2 linked regions of the Oryzias latipes genome follow. The protein of the gene in region 1 purifies or fractionates together with the protein of each later gene. This does not show direct contact. Links are inferred from orthologs where the notes say so. Each region holds a gene or a part of one and is shown on either strand. Other genes may lie near its edges.

Region 1 (9,361 bases):
CAGATGACAACTATGCTGCTGCTTTCTGACTGCGCTCAATGGCCATCCTCTCCAACCGCTCAGTGTAGAATCCATTGAAGTCCAGCCTGAAAAGTCATATTCAGAAAAACGTTATTTTAATGAATGGGTCAAGCTGATCAAAACAAACAATATTCTGTGCATTTCAGCTCCACGTGTTGTTTGATAAATCCTAAGCATAAACATAATCAAGACCACTGGGACCGCTTTGATAATAGATCAAGTGGTTCGGCAGCTGCACGGCCGCGGATAAAAAGAGACTGCAGAGAGTCGTAGAGACGGCTCAGAAAATCATTGGGTGCCCTCTCCCCACCCTGACGGACATCTACTCCGCGCGCTGTCTCACTAGGGCTCAAAACATCATTAAGGACAGTTCACACCCCGGCTCAGACCTGTTCAACCTGATGCCCTCTGGGAGGCGCTACAGAGGAATCAGAAGCAAAACGAACAGACTAAAAAACAGCTTCTTTCCAAAGGCAATAACCATCCTCAATTCCCAAATGCACAGATGAAAAAAAAACATTCCTGTTTACTCCAACTATCTACCTCATTGCCACCTCTGCACTTTTGACATGTCTACGCACAGTTTTTTTTTTTTTTTCATACGCAATTTTTGCACAATTATCTCGGCACTCTTCAATACAGTTTACAGCTTATATTGCACACTTGTATATACTGTTTGTTCGCTTTTTTGATTTTATTATATTACAATGTTTTATTTACTACCTTTCCCTCCCTTACTGTTCTTGCACTGATGGTGAAGCTTAAATCTCATTGTACTATGCACAATGACAATAAAGCCATTCTATTCTATTCTATTCTATTCTATTCTATTCTATTCTATTCTATTCTATTCTATTCTATTTAAAAGAAATAAAGCTTGGTCTTATTTGAAACTTTATTTTGTTTTATTTTGTTTTTTTAAGAATGATTGCTTATGTACAGACTGAAAATGCTTTTTTTTTTGCTTTATATGCTATTTCCAAAAACTGCAGCATAATGTATTTTTTCAAAACGCATGACCAACTTGCATATTGAACTGACAGTTATAAAAATGCATTTTCATTTTTTAAATGTTGGTACCAAAAAGCCAGGAAAATCTCAAACCCAATGGATTTTTCTTTATTTAAACTTGAATTTAAAAAAAGGAAGACTGAATTGAATACATTTTCTTTTTAAATTCTAAATTACATAATGTATTTTCAAAATGCAAATTGAGAATACAATCCGATTTGGATTATGGGTGACAAAAACCTCCATGCAAAAACACTCAGAGCTTCATGGGAAATTCCCCCACTACACAACAAACAAACAAACAAACGGACAAACAAACAAACCCGGAGCTGTGGGCCGGCGTCTCACCTGTAGATGATGCTGATCATGCTGTGCTCACAGTCATTGGTGCTGTAGATGCTGAGTTTGTCCAGCAGGTCCAACAGCAGCATACTGAAGTTACTGTCAAACTTGCTGATGGTGGCTTCAAAACTGGCGTCCGACTGCAGAGCGTCCACCTGCTCGGCTGAAAACTGACACAAATGAGAGAAGAAAAAAAAATTGTCAATAAAATGTGACCTGAGCAGAAAACCCTTCAGAGATTTCAAAGACCTTTGTGCTGAGCTTCTTCTCGGCTTCACTCTGACTTGGAGCTTCGTCCATCGTCCCCTGCTCTCGAGACAGACGCTCCAACCTCATGGTCTGTGTGAACCGCTGCAGTGACACATTCATCATTTTTCAACTTAATAGGTTAACTATTTAAAAAAAGGCTTATATAAAACGGTTTTATCTGAAACACTTCAACCATGGAACCATTGTCTGCATAAAAGCATGTCAACATATACATCAAACTTTAATAGTCATGTAAAATCTTTCATTTTACATCTAAATCTTCCTTAAAGTTAACATAGACATTAAAACTACATAAATCAGGATGCAGCGTTAAAAGAAGAAGAAGCAGTGCAATCTTGTTTTTTTCCTCTACAACAAACCTGCATGCTGTTTGTGAACATGACACAGACGGTCATGAGTTTGGAGAAGATCCTTAGAAGCTCCGGGTTGGTCAACATGCAGTCCTTCAGGCAGTTGTCCAGGAAACTGGTGTGGTGGCACAGCACATCATCAATGTTGGAGGCCTGGTGAAGGAGAGCAGACACGTCTCAGCTCCAAAAAGCTGGAAGCATCACGTCTTCCTGCAGGCTTCTTCACTCACTGTTTTCAGGTTGTTCTCCATGATGTGCCATGTGGGCTCCATCACCTCAAACATCATGTAGTACTGGATGTTCTGCACAAAGTTAAGCATGCGCTGGCGCAGGGCGAACGCCGCTGCAAACCTAAACACAGATCGCAGAGTCTGAGGACTTTTTCTGACTGATATTTAACCAAAGCGTCCATGAAATGATGTCAGCTCACCATTTGGCACAGTGCAAGGAGTACAGCTTGAAGTCTTTGTTGCTGATCCACACGTTGCACAGCAGCCGCTCCACATGTTTGCAGAAGAACATGTGTCTGAATAACATCTGGTATCTTGTTAGCGCTTTTCTGAACAACAAACACGAGCTGTTATTAGCACAAAATGTCATCATTTATTGAAACATCATTCATTCGTGTGCCATAGAGCTTTAAATTTCTAATACAGCTGAGCAACAACTGTGTGTGTCGAAACACCCCAAAGCATCGGTGAATTAAAATCACCTAAATCCAGCTTATTTGAGGCTCTACTGGCCTTTAACTGCTTTACAGGCTTGTAAAAATAAAATAGCTTAAAAAAAAACCTTCCTGTTATGAATCTTTGTTGCACTACCTCTTCTAAACACTAGATGTCAGTGTTACCATCTTTTGCTTTTACATTTTTTTACCCGTGGTCGCTGCCTTTTTTCAAACCATGGACCGGTTTAATGTCAGACAATATTTTCACTGACCGCAAATGAGGCTAAAGTGGGCATCAGATTTTATTTTTCCTTCTCTTAATTTTTAAGGGTAAAGTTTATCTTCATCCCCTGTAAAACATCTGCATCTGCTTTAAACTTTACTTTAGACAGCTGGTTGATAACTATTATGCATTATAATTATGGTATGTGGGAACAACTGTCACAATAAATCCATATTTGCAGTACAGACTCCTGGTTTTTGTCTGTTAAATGCAGATTGCATTTTTTTTTTTAAGTCAAAGGCACTTCTTCTGTTTCTTCACAGAAGATTATTTTCTGCCAAAAGAAACGTTTGTTTTTTCTTAACTTTGCTAGCTTGGGGATTTCAGTTTAGCGGTTGGCACAGCTGCTTTAAGAAAATGGTAGATGGATTTTCAATACGTGACTGCAGGGCTTGACATGCGTCAAGAATGTGCTGGATGTGTTTGAGAGAATCCAGTAGTTTTCCTAAATAAAATTTCCTTAAGAATCAGATTAGAAATAAAATAGTAAAAATATAGGCCTCTTTTTTATTTTCCTCTCTCTCTGCGGCTCAGTACCAAGTGTACCGGTACCGGTTTGCGGCTGGAGACCACTGGTTCATATCCCATTTTCTATTTATGGTCAAGGTACACAAGAAAGAACAAACATTGAGCTGGACTGCTCAGTTGTAAAGATTTCCGACCGACCTGTTGATGATGAGCGAGAGCGGCCACTTAACAATGTAGTCGAAGGAGAAGGCCTCCAGGCCGCTGAGAGCCGCGTCCGCCTGCTCAGCGTTGATGATGGCCTTCTCCTGTTTGGTCTCGATGGCCAGCACTCGCAGCAGCTGAGTGATCACATCGTGAGGCATCAGGTCAATCTGGAGAAAGAACAGCAGCGTTTTGAGGAATAAAATACAAATCTGAATAAAGTAAGAGGGGCATTGAGATGCGTTATCAGTTATTTTGATGGCTACCTTTAATACTAAATTGGTAAACAGACCTAATGTGCATTTTTCTGTTGTTAAAACCCAAAATTTCCTGCAGGAAAAAGTGTCCACAGAGAAAATGTGACCTTGTGTGTTTGTCAGGAAAATCCCACAGCTTGGTTTGGTTGAATTTTTCTTTTAAATAGCTCTAAAGGTGCTATTGAGTCAGAAGATAACACATTAGTTTCCATTATTCAGTTGCTTTTGTTTAAAATCATTTTAAACACTGGAAATGTTTAGGATTAAAACCCTGCAAAATAAAAGCCTCTCAGTAACACCCAGACAAAGCAGCTGCCTTCAGTTTGGACAGAGGTCTGCCCCTCCAGCACAGAGCCCCGCCCCTCAATGAAAGCCCTAGAAAAAGCCTGATCAAAAGGGTCTGGGACGGCTCACTTATGACTTCACTAGAGCTCATCTGTTGAAGCAGAGTAACAGAAAACATGATGGATGTGGAGCCCAGTGGACGTCAATGATTAAGAGAAACCTTGGACTCAAGATTATTGGCCAGGCCAGTTATCGGCACTGATATTTGTTATTTTGATGCATGTCTGCATCAGCCTTTTCTTTTTTAATCCAACGGACCGTTTTTGAACTGGTTATTTTGGCTCTGATGCAGCAGCACTGAGCGGTCTTCAGCAGTATCCGGCCACAGCCCTGTGCCACACTACTAGCAACTAGGGCCGTCACCTTTAATGAGTTAAGGCGCCAATGCAAATGTCTTTCAACGATGTTAATGGTGCGTTAGAAAACGTTTGTCCAGCCTGTAGTAAGAGGAAAAAAAGAAACAGCGCAAGCACCTCAGCTGCTCCATGCGCAGGTATAACCCCAGCCCCTCCCTCCTCTGCTCAGAGGCAACATGCAAACATGCAAGAAAGTTTCTTTGCACACCATCCTCATCATTCCTTCATCTTCAGCGAGGATTATGCCATTAATAAGTTTCTTTTTACAGTAAATGAATATTGGCTCTAAATATTGATTATCAGCCTTCTTGACTACCGGTAATAATCTGCATCGGTCCTGAAAAAAAACCCCACATCGGTGGATCTCTGTTTGAAATTTGTTGGCCCCACCTTGAGGTCGTCTTTAAAGGGGTCCGTGTTGGCGGTGCTCATCCTCAGAGCCAGCTCCAGCAGAGCTTCAAGTCTGGGGGGGACGATGTCGTCCACCGGCTTCTTCAGCTCCTCTTCTGTCAGATCCATGAAGTGCACAAAGAAATCTCCTTTGTCCATCAGGAAGTAGTGCTTGATGGATCTGGCAAAAACAAAATTACAATTGTTAATGTAATAACTGTTAATATGTCATTATTGTGAGCAGTAAAGATGCTAACCTTTCATGGAAATCTAGACTTAATAGACAAAAGAAAAAGAAAAAAGCTATTCTGGACAAAGAAAACGGTTTACCTCAGACGAGAAACCAGCTCCTTCTCTTCCATGAGGAAGTCCAGGAGGACCTTGCTGGCGTAGTTGTAGGCCTTCTCAATCTGCTCCACATAGGCCCGCTCCTTCAGGGTGTACAGAACCTCCTTAGCGTCAGGACAGGTCACATCTCGGCCGCACTCTCGCACCACGTTCAGGTATTTCCCTGTAAAGTGTCATCTATAAGTCTTATGCGTAGAAAGTCACGTCTCTCTTCCTGTTTGGGTCTGTGTCCCTGTACCTGTGCTCAGAATTTTGTCTGCCATTTTCTGGAGAAAGGAGGGGATTCGATGCTGTACAATGGTGTACCTCTGGTCCCAGTACTTGTCATTATAATCCTCCTGGATCTTCTCCTTTTGCAGCTCATGCTCCTCCACCATGAACTCACTGAAGTGGAGAACAGGAGAATCTGTGAGCGCCAGGAAACCCCTTATCAGGATTTTTTGTCTCCCCTCTGAATGCAGACCTGTACGGATCCTTGATGATGCCTCTGTAAATCCACTTCTCCAAAATTTCAAAGTACGGCACGCTGGCGGCTTTAGTGAGGTAGAGGCACAGCTCCTGCGCCTGGCTGTCACCTGTGTAGTTGAAGGTCCGGTCATGCAGAAGGCTAAGCGTTGCTCCGCCCATGCACTCTCCTTTGTCCACAGAGGAGGCTGGAAAACAGCAGATTTCAATAAACCCGTCTGTATTCCTGTTTTCTGTCCTGCTTTATCTATAATTCAGAAAATCCAGAGACCACAGAGGTTGTGAAAATTGACTCAAACAGTGGGGAGAAGTAGAAGCCGACCATTACCACATATTTTGGGATTGTCCCATTATAAAAATTTTTTGGAAGGAAATACATAAACATATTGAATATATATCAAATAAGACAATACCCTGTGATTTTATCAGTCTGTAAGACACAACTCCCACCTACCAATGAAAATTTTATTCAGAATATTAATACCCACTGGTAATAAAAAGCAGTGACTAGACACTGGCTCCTCCCCACTGTACCCAGCTTGGACAATTGGATAGACATTGTAAATGAAATCTGCCAGATAGAAAGACTAACCTATTCACTTCGGAAACAGATGCCCACAATGGATATTCTATGTTAATCACTTACAACAAATGGAAGTAATGAATGTCTGGCTTGTAATTATAATCAAGTTGAATGTTTTAGTGTGTTTTTTGTTTACTTCTTTCCCTCATAATGCATCCGCTGTTCCCTGTTTTGTGTTTTGTTAGACACCAAGTTATGTTATGGAAAAAAGAAAAGAAATGTTGAGAATGGAGATATAAGTCATGGGTCCAAAATTGGACCTAAGTGAATTTAAATGTACGGTTTTATAACTTTCTCAATTTTCCTAAATAAAATTTGGAAGAAAACTGACTCAAAGCTCCCCCTGGTGGTTCAAATGAGAAGCTGCTTCTGCAAGAAGAACCTCAAACTTAACTAAAGATACAACAGTGTTGAGGGATCGGCTGTCAGTGTAGATTACACTTACACAAAGGGCAACTATTAAGGACTTTTACAACATTTGCACACATCTGAATGAGTACAAACTTTATTTGAAAGTAAAGCACGCCCGTACTTTCACGGTCACTAAATAGGTATTTTTTTATTGCATGGTTGGCTAAAAGTATTAGAAAAAAACTGGTACACTGAGCACAAATCAAACAGGATTGTGACTTTTCAAGTCCACAAATATCCTTTGTAAATGTAAACAGCAGCTAAATCATTAAGGTTTAAGTAAAGTTCGCTACAGCTTGCAAAGTGCTCACTGAGGTAACATACCTGCAATAAATTAAAACCTATTTTAGTGCCACGATTTTCTGATTTAAAAATTTAATTTAATTTAATTTAATTTAAAAAGACTGTGGCTTAAAGGCTGAAACTTACTTAAAAAAAAGTAAATGCAAGACAATGAAATGGTAAAAAATGCAACTGCATCTTTTACTAATTATAAGAATCCTTGTAAAAAGATTAAAACTTCCACAGCATGAGAAAAAAGAAAATTCCCCTGTTAAGTAAATTAAAGAAAATTGGATTGCACTTCGATCATCTTTTGATCTATTTTCAAAGTGTTCACTATATTTATGCTGCTTTTGGCCAAAATAAAAAAAAATAGGTGTTGTTTTTCTAGTTTCTGCAGAGCGGCAGGAGTTCATCAGAAACTCTCCTCTGAGTTGGGAAGACCAGTGGTGCGCAGTAAGCTTGCATTCATTTTCCATTAGTCCTCTGTCCACACTCTCTCGTGCTACCTTACAGCCCCTCAGAACCCGAGCAATCACAGATGCAAACAAAAATGGCGAGCAATGTCAGAGCTATCCAGCCGTACAATTTAGATCCAGATTCCAGCTCTGACGAGGAAAACGAAGACGTTCATGAATCTGTTTGTCTGTAAGTGGATGCATCGGAATGGAGCAGAGCAGGGAGCTTGTGACCTGTCGACTGTAGTTTGTACGTCACAACTACAAGCTTTTTTAAACAGCATTTTTTCGTCTGCTCCTGAGTCAACACAATAGAGAAATACTCTAACGATGTTTTATCTTAATTTTCTTTATTTAATGTCTTAAAAAACGACACAGACTTTTGGATTTTGGCTAAAAACTATATAATCGTAGTAAAGGACCTCCGGGAACACTTTCATTAAAATAGATCAAAAGATGACAGAAGTGGGACTTTAAAGTCTGGACATTCCCAGTCAGCCTCTCACCAATGGACGCCAAGATCTCCATGGTCCTCATGGTGGGCTGGATGTAGAACCAAAGCTTCTGCAGGGACAGCAGGCCCTGCCGCTGCAGGTGCTCCAGTTGAGTGACCAAGATGAGGTACTCCTTCATCAGGGTCCTCATCGCTGCCGTCAGAGCGTGGTTCACCTGGCCGTACTCAAAGGAGGACTTCTCTTCGATGAACCTGCAAAAGGTTTAAAACCATTTGACAATAACGTTCACAGAAATATTAACGTCTAAATTTTCATTAAGAAGATTTTCTAGAATTAAAATCATCATTTTAAAATAAAAGAGTGACTGTCCTAAAGATAGCAAATGATTGTATGGTTTTCTGCCATTTATCATTTCAATTTTCTCTGGTCTGATTGGAATTTATTTGGGTTTTAGATCTCTTTTTACATTTTAAACTTGTTAGAATAATATTTATCCATTATTAAATTAACTTTTCAAGGTTTGTATGTCAAAAATGAGTTTATTTTTGTTATTCAATATTCCAACAGAAGTTTGTCTCAAACGTGGCCCAAAAAGCAGAGATCAAATCTAAAGGATTGTCCAGGAAAGCAGAATTTGACTGTTTTTCAGTGAGAAGAGGTGAACTGAAACCAGCGTTTACCGAGTTATAGTGGAGTAATACGATGCAACAGGAAGGATTCTGTTCACCAGCTCCTTCACGGACATGTCCAGTGTCGCATCAACGATGAAAGAGCGGTTCTGCCTCCCCAGGACGGGCTGAGCTGTGATGTCCCGCCCATCAACTCCAACCAGAACAAAGAGCAGATCCTCCACCAGGGCCTGCTCCTGGGTCGCCAGAGGCAGCGTACCTGAACGGACAATGAAAGGATTAAAAGTGAAACCGGAATCAGAGGTCTGAGCAGAACGGCACTCTTACCAACAGCTACAGTCAGGTCTCCAGCTGCAGTGGGGCTTGTGATGAAGTCTCCAATGAGGGCTGGACGGTCATACACCCAATTAGGGAACACAGGGTTTGGTTGCGTGGGGTTCTTCTTGTTGTGTTTGTCTCTCAACATCTTCCTGGTGACTTCAGCGGGCTGCAGAAACAATGATGAGCAACAGCAGCATTTACCAAAATACAGACTTATTTTAAAAAGACTGAAAGAAAATGGGAGAGTCAATCTTTTTTTCCATGTATACATATTTCAGGCATGCTGTAAGAAAATTGAAAACTCTTCACCAGTGGGGCGTTGGAGCTGGCCGTCACGTTGCCAAGCTTCTTCCGCAGCTCATCCAACTCCTGCATGGACATCTTGGCGCTGGACTGAGGGAGAGTGTAGCTGGTAGTTGTCGTTGAATTTGTGTTTGCTGACGACTCT
Region 2 (10,024 bases), on another chromosome or scaffold:
CATTTTGACTGAGAATTTCAAATTTAAAATTAAATTAAATCTCATAATCAGGAAGACACAGCAGCGAGAGCCACACAAATGCAATAAGGTTATCTTTGAAAAAAGGAATAAAGGGTAAACATTTCTGATAAGTTCGGTTCTAAAGGATAAAAAAAATGAAATGTCAAGTTAATTTCTTTTAAAGTTGCAATTGACTCCACCTACAGGTCTCGCATCAAGGCCACAACTCAAGCAGCGTTTAACCATCAAAGCTCATTTGCACCTTCTTTTCCTGCAGGTTGGACTCACTTACCAGTCTTTCATTTAGTCTTTATAAACAGACAGCTGCAGCTCATTCAGAGTTTTTAATGGAATCTGGAGATCTGAACCCACCACTCATATTCTGCACAGACTTCCAGTTAAATATAGAATTGATTCTAATCCCCCTAAACACATCTCTGATCTCCCTGTGGCACACAGACTCAGCGGGACTCTGGGATCTGTAGGAAGCAAAAGCAAAGGCAGCAAAGATGCTGCACACAGAAAGAACCAGCTTCCTAATGAGCCCAGGTCTACTAAATAAAACCTAAATTCAAACTTAAAATGTGCTGCTTTCTATGACTTTTGATTAACACAATACAGTACTTTACCAGCTACTTTTCAATTTTTAAATATTTCATAGTTTTAATGCTATTTTTACACTCTAAAACGTACTTGAAAATGCTGCTATGTCACAAAGCAAGTTTTAGGAATCTAAAAGAATGTTATCAAGCCAAAGTGACAGCACTGTCAGGTCACAATCATGCTCTTTTTGTGCTAATTAATTTTTTTATCTTTTTCATCTTTAATTTCTTCAATAACACTAAACTTGTAAGTAACTGATCATGGAACTTTACATTTTTTCTTATTAATTTTTGATTTTCTTTTTTAATTTTTACTTGAAATCCTGCTGTGCCAATGATTTTGAGTATATAATGGTGAAGATAAGACTATTTTAAAGGTTTTAACAGCTTTTTTTGGTAAATTTAAAGTCTAATTTCAAAGTTTCACAAATGCATGGATTAATTTTTTTGATTGCTTAAGTGCACTTTGTCAGAACACAAGTATCTCCTAAAAGCAATCTTAAAATATCAACAAAAAAAATCCCAATCAAAAGCCAAAAAGTAGGCACAACAAGGTCCAAATTTAGGTTTAGAAAACATAAAACTTGGTGAACCTCTGAGCAGACCAGTCTAATTATTATCAAAATATTCGAGGCACATACCTTAAATACAACAGCTCCACTCAGATCTTTCACTTTTAAATGAGACTGCCCTCATTTATCAAAGAAATAAACCTCAGCCCGGATAATTATCAGACGTTCGAATATAAACACCTTCAGAAGTTTGGATGTGAAGACCTGCTTGCCTGTTAGGTTGATATAGTCATGTGATCTGTCCAGTGCCCTAGTTCAACACCTCTTAGATGTTTATGCATATGTGGACGCTAATCTCTGCAAGGACTGTGGGATTTGGGAATATTTTGTTTAAGAGAGATCAAAGTAACTCGCTTGGATAAAGAGAAACCCTCCAAACAGATCAAACAGACAGCAATGCATCCTGAATCCCACGCCCATAATAGCCAATCAAGCCCTGAATAACTCCAAAAGAAAAAGAAATTTTGTTGTGGCTCTTTCTCCATCAACACCTCTCCGCTCGCCCCCCACTGAGACCTGAGGTTGCTTAAGTTTGTGAACTGTCAAGAAGAAGGACTGCACCACGTCTGTCCTGCACGCCTGACACGGTGCTGGTATCGAAGAAGAGGGAGAGAGATACTGTTTTAAGAGATCAAAGCAGCGATGGGGAGATTTAGACTCGCAGGCCGCCAGTCAAGATGGCGAGACAAAGCAGAAAACAGAAATGCTTACACACACAGTCCTGCACATGCTGGCTCTGCCTGTGAGGAAGGAGTCGGGCTTAACTGTCAGATGGCTTAAGGGTTACTCATTTGTAGACATCTGCAACACTGTACAAACACGTCTCTAACAGGGAAAGCCACACACGCATTACTGAACTGAGCCTGTATGGATGAGGGGTTGGTCATACATTGGCCTGTGGAGAAATGTTCTGTGATCTCAGCATTTTCCCTTGTATGGAAGATGAATAGTTACTCTAAAGACAGCAGAGAAACAAAACAATGGTGTTTGGTTAGACATGTGATCTAGGGTCTCTATTACAGCTAGATCAAAGTTGTTTTATTTTGTCAAGTTTGCAGTATATCTTAGATCCTTTAGGTGGATGAAGTGCAGGCATAAAGGAGCAAGGATTTACAGGATATCCTGCAGTAAAGAATGACCCTTGCTTGTGTCTTTTTTGTTGTGAAGTATGTTGTTGGCTGGAGAGGCAGCCACTCCTCCATTGTTTCTGTATTTATGCATTGTTCTTCAAGTCTGTTCTCCCTTTCACCTGGTCTGACAGGAAAGATTGTTTCCGTTGTAAAATCCAACCAAATAAGGTTATTATGTTATACTGCTGACCCAAAATTAGACCATGACACGTACAAAAAAGAAACTAAAGCCAAATATTATTTTTTTAAATGTATATTACAGTTTTTTTTAATCAGAAATAATATAAAGTGGTATTTGTTTTAAAATCCCAACAATTAAATAAATACTGAGAACAAAGACTAGAACTCCCCCTTGTGGTCACTGATGGTAACATTTTATTTCCCACAATTCCATTGAAAACTTACAGGACCTTCAGAAATAGATTTGTGCCAATAAATGACCAAGAAAAAAAATGATAGTGCAATAATATACATTGAAAAAAAAAATCAATAAAGATTTTAACATATAATGTCCAACATGTTTCTGATATAAAACATTCTGACAGTCAAACCCAACATCCATGCTGCTTAGAGAAAAAACAAAACAAAAGAAGGCTTAAACTTGACAGTGCTGCTCAGATCTGTGTCTTGTGTGTTTGAAAAACAACAAATGTAAGTCATTTTCTTTTAAACAACAACAAACAAATGAAAAAAGTAGAAAACATTTGAGTCACTGTCAAAATGATTGGGATTGAGGCGGGAAAGCTGGTAAAGATCCAGGAACAGGGGATGATCTTATTAAAGTCCTGCACAGATGGGCTCCGATTCCATCTTCAGGTTGTGCAATTCTCAGAAACCTGAAAATAAAAAGTAATAAACCATCATGATTTATTGTTTGAAATGGTGTGGCTGTGGCTCAGGTGGGACACAAGGCAGTCTATTAATCACACAGAAAACAGTTTGATCCCAGTCCCTCTAGATGTCGGTGTCTTGTTGGGCTTGACGTTTACGCACGAGGTACTCCAGATGAAAAGTCTAACAGCTTTCATTTCGGCATGTGGATCATTGGGTTTTGCAGCAAGTGTGTATGTGAATGGGAAAGAAGCTGTAAAGCACTTTGCAAAACCAGACAAAGCCAGTTCTGTAAAAGTGCAAATTGAATGCTGGACTTATGTTAAGTATATTTGAGCTTTTCTGAAGCTCAGAGAAAATTTAATTAATTACATTTTCTTTAAAAAATAAACTCATGTCTATATTTCTATTTACAAACCATAAGGATCTGTTTTCAGGACGTTTAGTAACAGAATTAATTCATCTGTATGCGCCAAATGTTTTTCAGTCCTCGGCTTTTCTCATTCATAGATTTAGTTGCAGGTTTAGCCATTTTTACATAAAAAAAGCAAGATATTATAAATTAAAATATTTGAGTTTACACTTTAAAGCTTAGAGTATCGTTGGGTTGATGTGGCAAGGATGATAAAATATTTAATAAATTTAAATAGTAGAAAATATTCTAAAGAGAAAAAAAAATCAAGTTTAAGGATTCACTAGTATGTGGGCATCAATCAAACAACTTGTGTTAAATAAAAGTCAAAATACTGAAATACTTTAATACCACAGCTCTATTTTCTAATGATGGGACGAGCGACACCTTGTTTACACTCTCCCGCTAACTGAGTCCCTGACAACCCCAAGCTCACACTAGCGGTGCAACAAATATAGTGAACAATATTTGAGCCATCCACCTGAACAGCTTTGATCCAGATTCCAGCTCAGACGAGGAAAACAAAAATGTACATAAATTTATTCATCTGCCAGTGGAGGCATCAGACTAGAGCAGAGCAGGGAGTTTGGCCTAATGGCTGTTGTTTCTATGTCACAACTGCAAGTTTTTCAAACTGCATTATTTGACTTCTCCGGTTTCTTAATTAAGAAATAATCAAAAATGCTGTTTTAATGTTAATTTTCTATTATATGTAATCAATCATAAAAAAGTGCTACAAGAACATGTTAAAAACACCAAAAATGCCGTTCTTATTTTATTTACCTGCAATGATTTCAGAATTACTGCAGGGGTCACTAGAGAGGGAGCAACACTATGTCAGAGTCAACAGTTTGGGAGATGTGTCAAACTCATTAAAGCATCATCAACCCATCACTACTATTTACACTGATATGATGTTTATCATTACAGACTTTAATGTAAAAATAAAAAAACAATGACACTCAAGCTTAACAAATGGTTTCCAAATGGTTATAGAACTCGCGATAACACTAAAAGAAGAAAAAAACACGGACATAAGTTTTGGTCTGTAATGAGATGTGGTAGTTTCTCTTCTACCTTCAGAGACTCTGAAGCTTTTCGGAGCTCCTTGATGACAGCAGACAGAGCTTCAGGGTTGATGCCTTGCTCACACAGCCTCACACAAATGGACAAGGACTCCATATCCAAACCAGTGTTTAGCAGTCTTGAAATCTCTAGCAGAACTGTTCAGGAAAAGCGAAAAGTTTAAAATTAATAGAATGATTTAATGATAATCTTGAAATTCTTATTAAATATGCTAATATGTGCACACAAGTTAAAATATTTACCGTCCATAGTCTCCCGGACTGCGTTCAGGTTAGCATTAGCTGCACTTGCCATTACGATGACGCTAGTTAGCTAGCTAGAACTTGCTAGCAGATACACAACAGCTTATATGTTACCCTGATAAAACGTTGATGAAAACAATTCAATTAAACAACACGGCCGCGTTTAAAATATCTCATATTTGCTTTACTCGGATTCTGACATACGATAAAATGCCGCATTAGCATTTAGCTTGCATCAAAGTTGATGCACCGTCCGCAAACTAGCAGCGGAAATGACGACACAGATGTCGCTATTGGTCCTCAACAACTTTCTGTAACGATTCTATTGGTTGGCTGGCTCCGTGGACGAAATTGAAATAAACGTTTGAATTGTTCTCTTCCTAATACCACTGTGGAGTCGACAGGGGAAGACTTTCTCTTGATTTAGTCGCTTTACAGTCCAAGTCAGATAAAACATGTAAGTACCAGGGGCGGAAAACAATTACATAGTCAGTGTCGGTAAGGATTAAATTATGGGTGTTATGTTGTTTTTGAACTGATTTTAAAACTGTTGTTTTCCTTGCAAGCTAACATCACAGCTAGCTAACGGATCGAGTAAAAAAAATACATGTTGGTTTACACTTAAAATGTTTTTAAGTGTACTTTGTAATACATTTTCTTTATAACTTGAATTTGAATTTTCAGCCAGGATGGGGGACCGTATCGAGCTAGAGATAACTCCAGAGACTCCGGGCAGGCCTTCCATAAGAAACCCCTTTGAGAGTCCAAATGATTACCACCATCTCCGGGAACCCTTGGTTCCAAGCCCATCTGTTTTTAAATCCAAGTCCTGTAAAGCTGTAAGTTTAATTTCTTACCCACAACTTATACTAAAATTGAATATTATTTACACAGTCAAGCTGAAACCGGTTTTTGCAAGTGTGTTTTGCAATTTTTACTTCGAGAAATGTGTCTTAAGGCTGCTGTGTAGTTTTGTCTCATATCTTGTCTTTTCTGTAGACCCCTCCAAGATTTAACTGGTCTATTGATGAAATGGCCAGCCTTCTCCCAGTGCACATAGACCCAGAAGAAATCCAGCGACAGTCTTTTTACCTCAGCCAGACAAGGTGTGTCCTGAATCCCTTATTTTGTTAACAGTGGCAAATCTTTGATTGCATTCCAGTCTTAAATATTTGGCAAATTACAAACTGTAATTAAACTAAGGCTGCACGATATCAGGAAAACTCGCGATATTGGTGATCAATATTGCGATGACGATGTGACTTACGATACATGAACCCAAAGTAAAACATGAAACAACTAATACATCTTTTTCATTTCACTGCAACAGTTTTATCAAAATAAAAGTCAGTATAACTTGATTTATACTCCAAATGATCTTTTACCTGATAGGAGGGAAGCATCTAACATAAAAGGGCTCCATCCAATTAGTCAAAAGCTTAACAGGCTATTTTGAATTTGAAACACTTCAAGCTGCCATAAGATTGTTTAGGCATGTGTGTAAACATTTATGGTATGATTTATTGCACTGTCTTCTGCGATACGCATACTGCACAGGCTGATAACAAGATGGCGATAGCTCTGTGATTTATTGTGCAGATCTAAATACCTAAATTATTTTCTTATTATATTTCAGGACCGATTCTGATGTTGAAGAAAAATTTCAGAGTGCTATTGAGCAGGTTTTGGACTTTAAAAGCAATCTTTTTTTAAAATTGCAATAATTCAGTAGAAGTCTTGTTGACAATTTACTGATTTACTCATGTCTTTTGTCTTGCTGAATAAAGTTTTTTACCAAAGGAGCCATAGTGCCTTCTCCTTGGGCAGCAGCAGAAACTCGCAGAGCCCCTCATATTTATAAGAAAAGTAAGATATCCAACTGTTTGGAATAATAACTTTCAAGTATTCCTTGTTTTTAGTAATATTAATGTGTATTTAACCATTTGTTGTTTTGTCTTGTTGTTTTAGGTCCCTTGTCTGAAACAGCTGCAGAACAGACAGAAAAAATCTCAGGTTGGTGCATGTTCGTATTAAAAAAAAAGAAAAAAAGAAGGGATCTAAAATTATTAGAATTTGTTAAATTTGTTCATTTGCTTTAGTTTTCCATAAACTGCATCTTTTTATCTTACAGTTGGTTGCCAGACGGTCCTTTCGCTGCCTTCAACATTTGATTTGGAAAAACTACTTGGTAAGCTTCTGTTAAATGTAAGAGGAGAATCATTGAAATGAAAGTTTTAAGTCACATTTCTTTCTTATTCTTAGGAGAATATTACCGTAACGATGAGGCTTGTGATGCAGTGCAGGAGAGCCTCAGTTCCTCCTCCTTGAGGAGAAAACTCTTTCTCGATGGACAGTTTAGCTACAGCAGCTCTGACAGCTCCACTCCACCGAGTCCAGAAAGAGCTCATGTCCGAGCTGAGAGGCTTCCTACCAAAAGACAAGGAAGCGGACCGAGACCCATGTGCTCTGAGGGAGAAAATCCAGTTTTTTCTTCTCCTTTGTCATGCGGGATCTCTGCCCCGACTCCTTCTACTGTAAGTTTCAGTGTGTCAAAAAATAGAGAATTGGGTTGCCAGGTATTTTTTTTTTAAATGGGTCATAGGATAGAAATCATGTAAAGCTGTAAAAAATGAGTATCTTTTGCCCCTTTAAATGTTTGCATAAAAATAGATGAAGACATGCATGACTAAAATTAGCTTTACTTCTCTTAAACGAAGGGCCAGTTCTCCTCTAGTCCTATCCAACATGGCTGCATCAGGGACTGTAGCCTTGGCAGTATTGGCAGCCCTCTGTTTCCTGATAGATCATCTCCTGCTGGCCATGGTTCCCCAACAATCTCTCCAATTCTTGCTGATTTTGCACACACTCCTGTAGGCTCAGGTAGAGCATTTCACTGTTTTAAAAATGTAAATATTGCTGGATTATATTTGGCTTTTTATCCTTAATCTGTGCCTGTTCTCGTGTTAGTTGAAAGAAAACAGCGATGCAACGTGACCCCACTGTCTATTCCCCTGGATGTAGATGTCAGCTCCTGCAACGAGAGTCCCTTTGTTGAAGGTTGCTCTCCAATTCGTAGCTGCTCCCCACACCAGCTCCAACATCACAAGGAGCCTCCGCGCGTCTCCAGAACCAAACCTAGAGTCCGTGTCTGGGCTTCCCCTCCACTCATTTCTCCAATTCTCAACCCAAAGCTGCAAGACAGTCAAGAGCCAGAAGAACACCAACATTCAGACTCTCCATCTTTTCTTCCCTCTATGGATTTTGATCCATCCTTCCCTCAGTGTCAGGACCTTCACCCAACTAAAAGTGACAGAGTTTATGTGGATACTGTGGAACATACAAAAATGGAAGAGGATAAGGAAATGGGCAAGGAAGAGGAGGAGGAGGAAGAAGATGAGCGACCCTCGGGACAGCTGACCAGCTCTCGCATGGGCAATGTGTCTGGGACAGAAAGCTCTCAGATGTTTCTGTCACTTTTGGCAGAAGGAAGCAGCATCCGCTATGACTCCAGCATGCAGGTTTTTTAAACAAACATTTGCTCCAACACAAACTGTAATTGTTTAATGAAGGTCTAAGTGAATGTTTCCCCTTCTTTTGTTCAGGTGGATAGCGGCTATAACACTACCTCAGCAGGCACTGCTAGCCTCATTGACGGCCTAGGCTCTGACCTTCAGAGCAAAGAGTCCCTGAACTCTAACATGGTGGAAGAAGCTATCCCTATTATTCGACACACAAAAGTTAAGGTAAGGTCGTGTATAAGACTGTTTTTTTTTCGCCTAAGCTATTAAAAAAAAAAATTGGTAGCAGTGGGATCCCAAGATCAGTCGATGACTTGAGCTACTTGAACAACATTTTATTATTTGATTTTTACAGCTAGTGTGACGCAATGGTACTAATACAAATGTATATTTTTCATAAACTGGAAACTTTATCATACCTTAGTTGAATTACTGTTTGATCTAAAGAAACGTCTGGACCAATCACCTCTGATGTTATAGTAGGATTTTTTTATAACACATTTTGTTAATATGAAAACATAACAAAATGAAGATATTTATAAATAAAGACCCTCTCCAACCATCCTTTGATTTTTTTTTCTAAAAGCATTCCCAGTGTTTTTTTTTTGTTTTTTTTATTTATGATTATGCAGTTTTTAGGCAAAACAATAAAAACCTGTGTAGTTTTCTAAGACATAGATTCTGCACAGCGGCAATAGTTCATCAGTGATTTGCCTCTGAGTTTCGGGCGGAGCAACCCCACCCCCCTTTTACACGTTCTCCTACGAGGTTACAGCCCCCTCACACCCCAAGTGGTGAGAAATATTGGAGCAATCCAGCCGTACAGTTTTAAGCTAGATGCCAGCTTAGATCTATTTGTCTGCAAGTGATGCATCAGAATGGAGCAGAGCAGGAAGCTTGTAGCCCCTCCCAGCATATTTCCTATGTAATAAATAAATCATAAAACAAACCATCTGCTTCACACCAATTTAAATAAATACTAAAAAATGCAATTTTAAGCTTAATTTTCTTTATACATGTCCTCTATCATCAGAAAAATGCCACAAGAACATGTTAAAAACACCAAAATACGATTTGGAGTGGGTCTTTAGCTGGGGAGGCTTACCAGAAAGCATGAAGTGGACTTTTAGCACCCCCTAAAAATGAATTGGCTTCATCTCACCATTATTTGAATCACAGTGAGAACACACTGTGAAGTAAATGCAATTGTATTTAATGTTACTGTTTAATAGAAATTACTTCAAGAAAACAGTCTGTCACGCTTAAAACTAAAAACTGCTTCTTTTTTTCAGGTCTTGTATTCACACCACTGAGTTTTTTGCTTCTCTGCGACGGACTCTTCAAGAGGAAGAAAGTTTTTTTTCCCCCTAAGTTTAATTAAGAGTATGATTTTTTTTTTTGTGGTGAAACTTGAATGTTTTGATGTATTTTTATTGGAAAGGTTAAAAGTGTTTGACTTTTGCAAATGCTTTTTTTGTATACTTGATGCCAGTCTCAGAACTAGCCTTGCTGTAAGATACTGAAGATTATTACTTTACATCAGCAGTCATTTTGTATTCAATTACTGGTGTAAATAAAAGAGGATCAAAAATATTAATTCTGTATTTTAAATTCCACAACGGTAAAATGCT

What was found.
Region 2: the proteins of tubgcp2 (region 1) and mzt1 purify together in Homo sapiens (affinity purification with mass spectrometry; 4 studies listed by BioGRID and IntAct, counting the BioPlex papers as one, with this or other methods). This does not show direct contact. The link is inferred for Oryzias latipes from reciprocal best matches to the Homo sapiens genes TUBGCP2 and MZT1.

Annotation. Positions count from the first base shown.
Region 1 is NC_019877.2:19,482,150-19,491,510, reverse strand, and holds part of tubgcp2 (gamma-tubulin complex component 2), read right to left. Parts: coding exon 9,223-9,361; intron 9,080-9,222; coding exon 8,920-9,079; intron 8,852-8,919; coding exon 8,644-8,851; intron 8,215-8,643; coding exon 8,015-8,214; intron 5,963-8,014; coding exon 5,773-5,962; intron 5,694-5,772; coding exon 5,548-5,693; intron 5,473-5,547; coding exon 5,292-5,472; intron 5,143-5,291; coding exon 4,962-5,142; intron 3,784-4,961; coding exon 3,611-3,783; intron 2,554-3,610; coding exon 2,425-2,553; intron 2,346-2,424; coding exon 2,225-2,345; intron 2,148-2,224; coding exon 2,004-2,147; intron 1,726-2,003; coding exon 1,624-1,725; intron 1,545-1,623; coding exon 1,381-1,544; intron 87-1,380; coding exon 11-86; 3' UTR 1-10. UniProt on the Homo sapiens protein: Component of the gamma-tubulin ring complex (gTuRC) which mediates microtubule nucleation.
Region 2 is NC_019873.2:18,603,967-18,613,990, forward strand, and holds mzt1 (mitotic-spindle organizing protein 1), read right to left. Parts: upstream 5,229-10,024; 5' UTR 4,928-5,228; coding exon 4,876-4,927; intron 4,771-4,875; coding exon 4,625-4,770; intron 3,141-4,624; coding exon 3,117-3,140; 3' UTR 2,657-3,116; downstream 1-2,656. Other genes in the region: bora (protein aurora borealis), read left to right, coding at 5,565-5,714, 5,875-5,981, 6,512-6,557, 6,663-6,741, 6,844-6,888, 7,007-7,063, 7,138-7,409, 7,593-7,755 and 3 more. UniProt on the Homo sapiens protein: Required for the recruitment and the assembly of the gamma-tubulin ring complex (gTuRC) at the centrosome.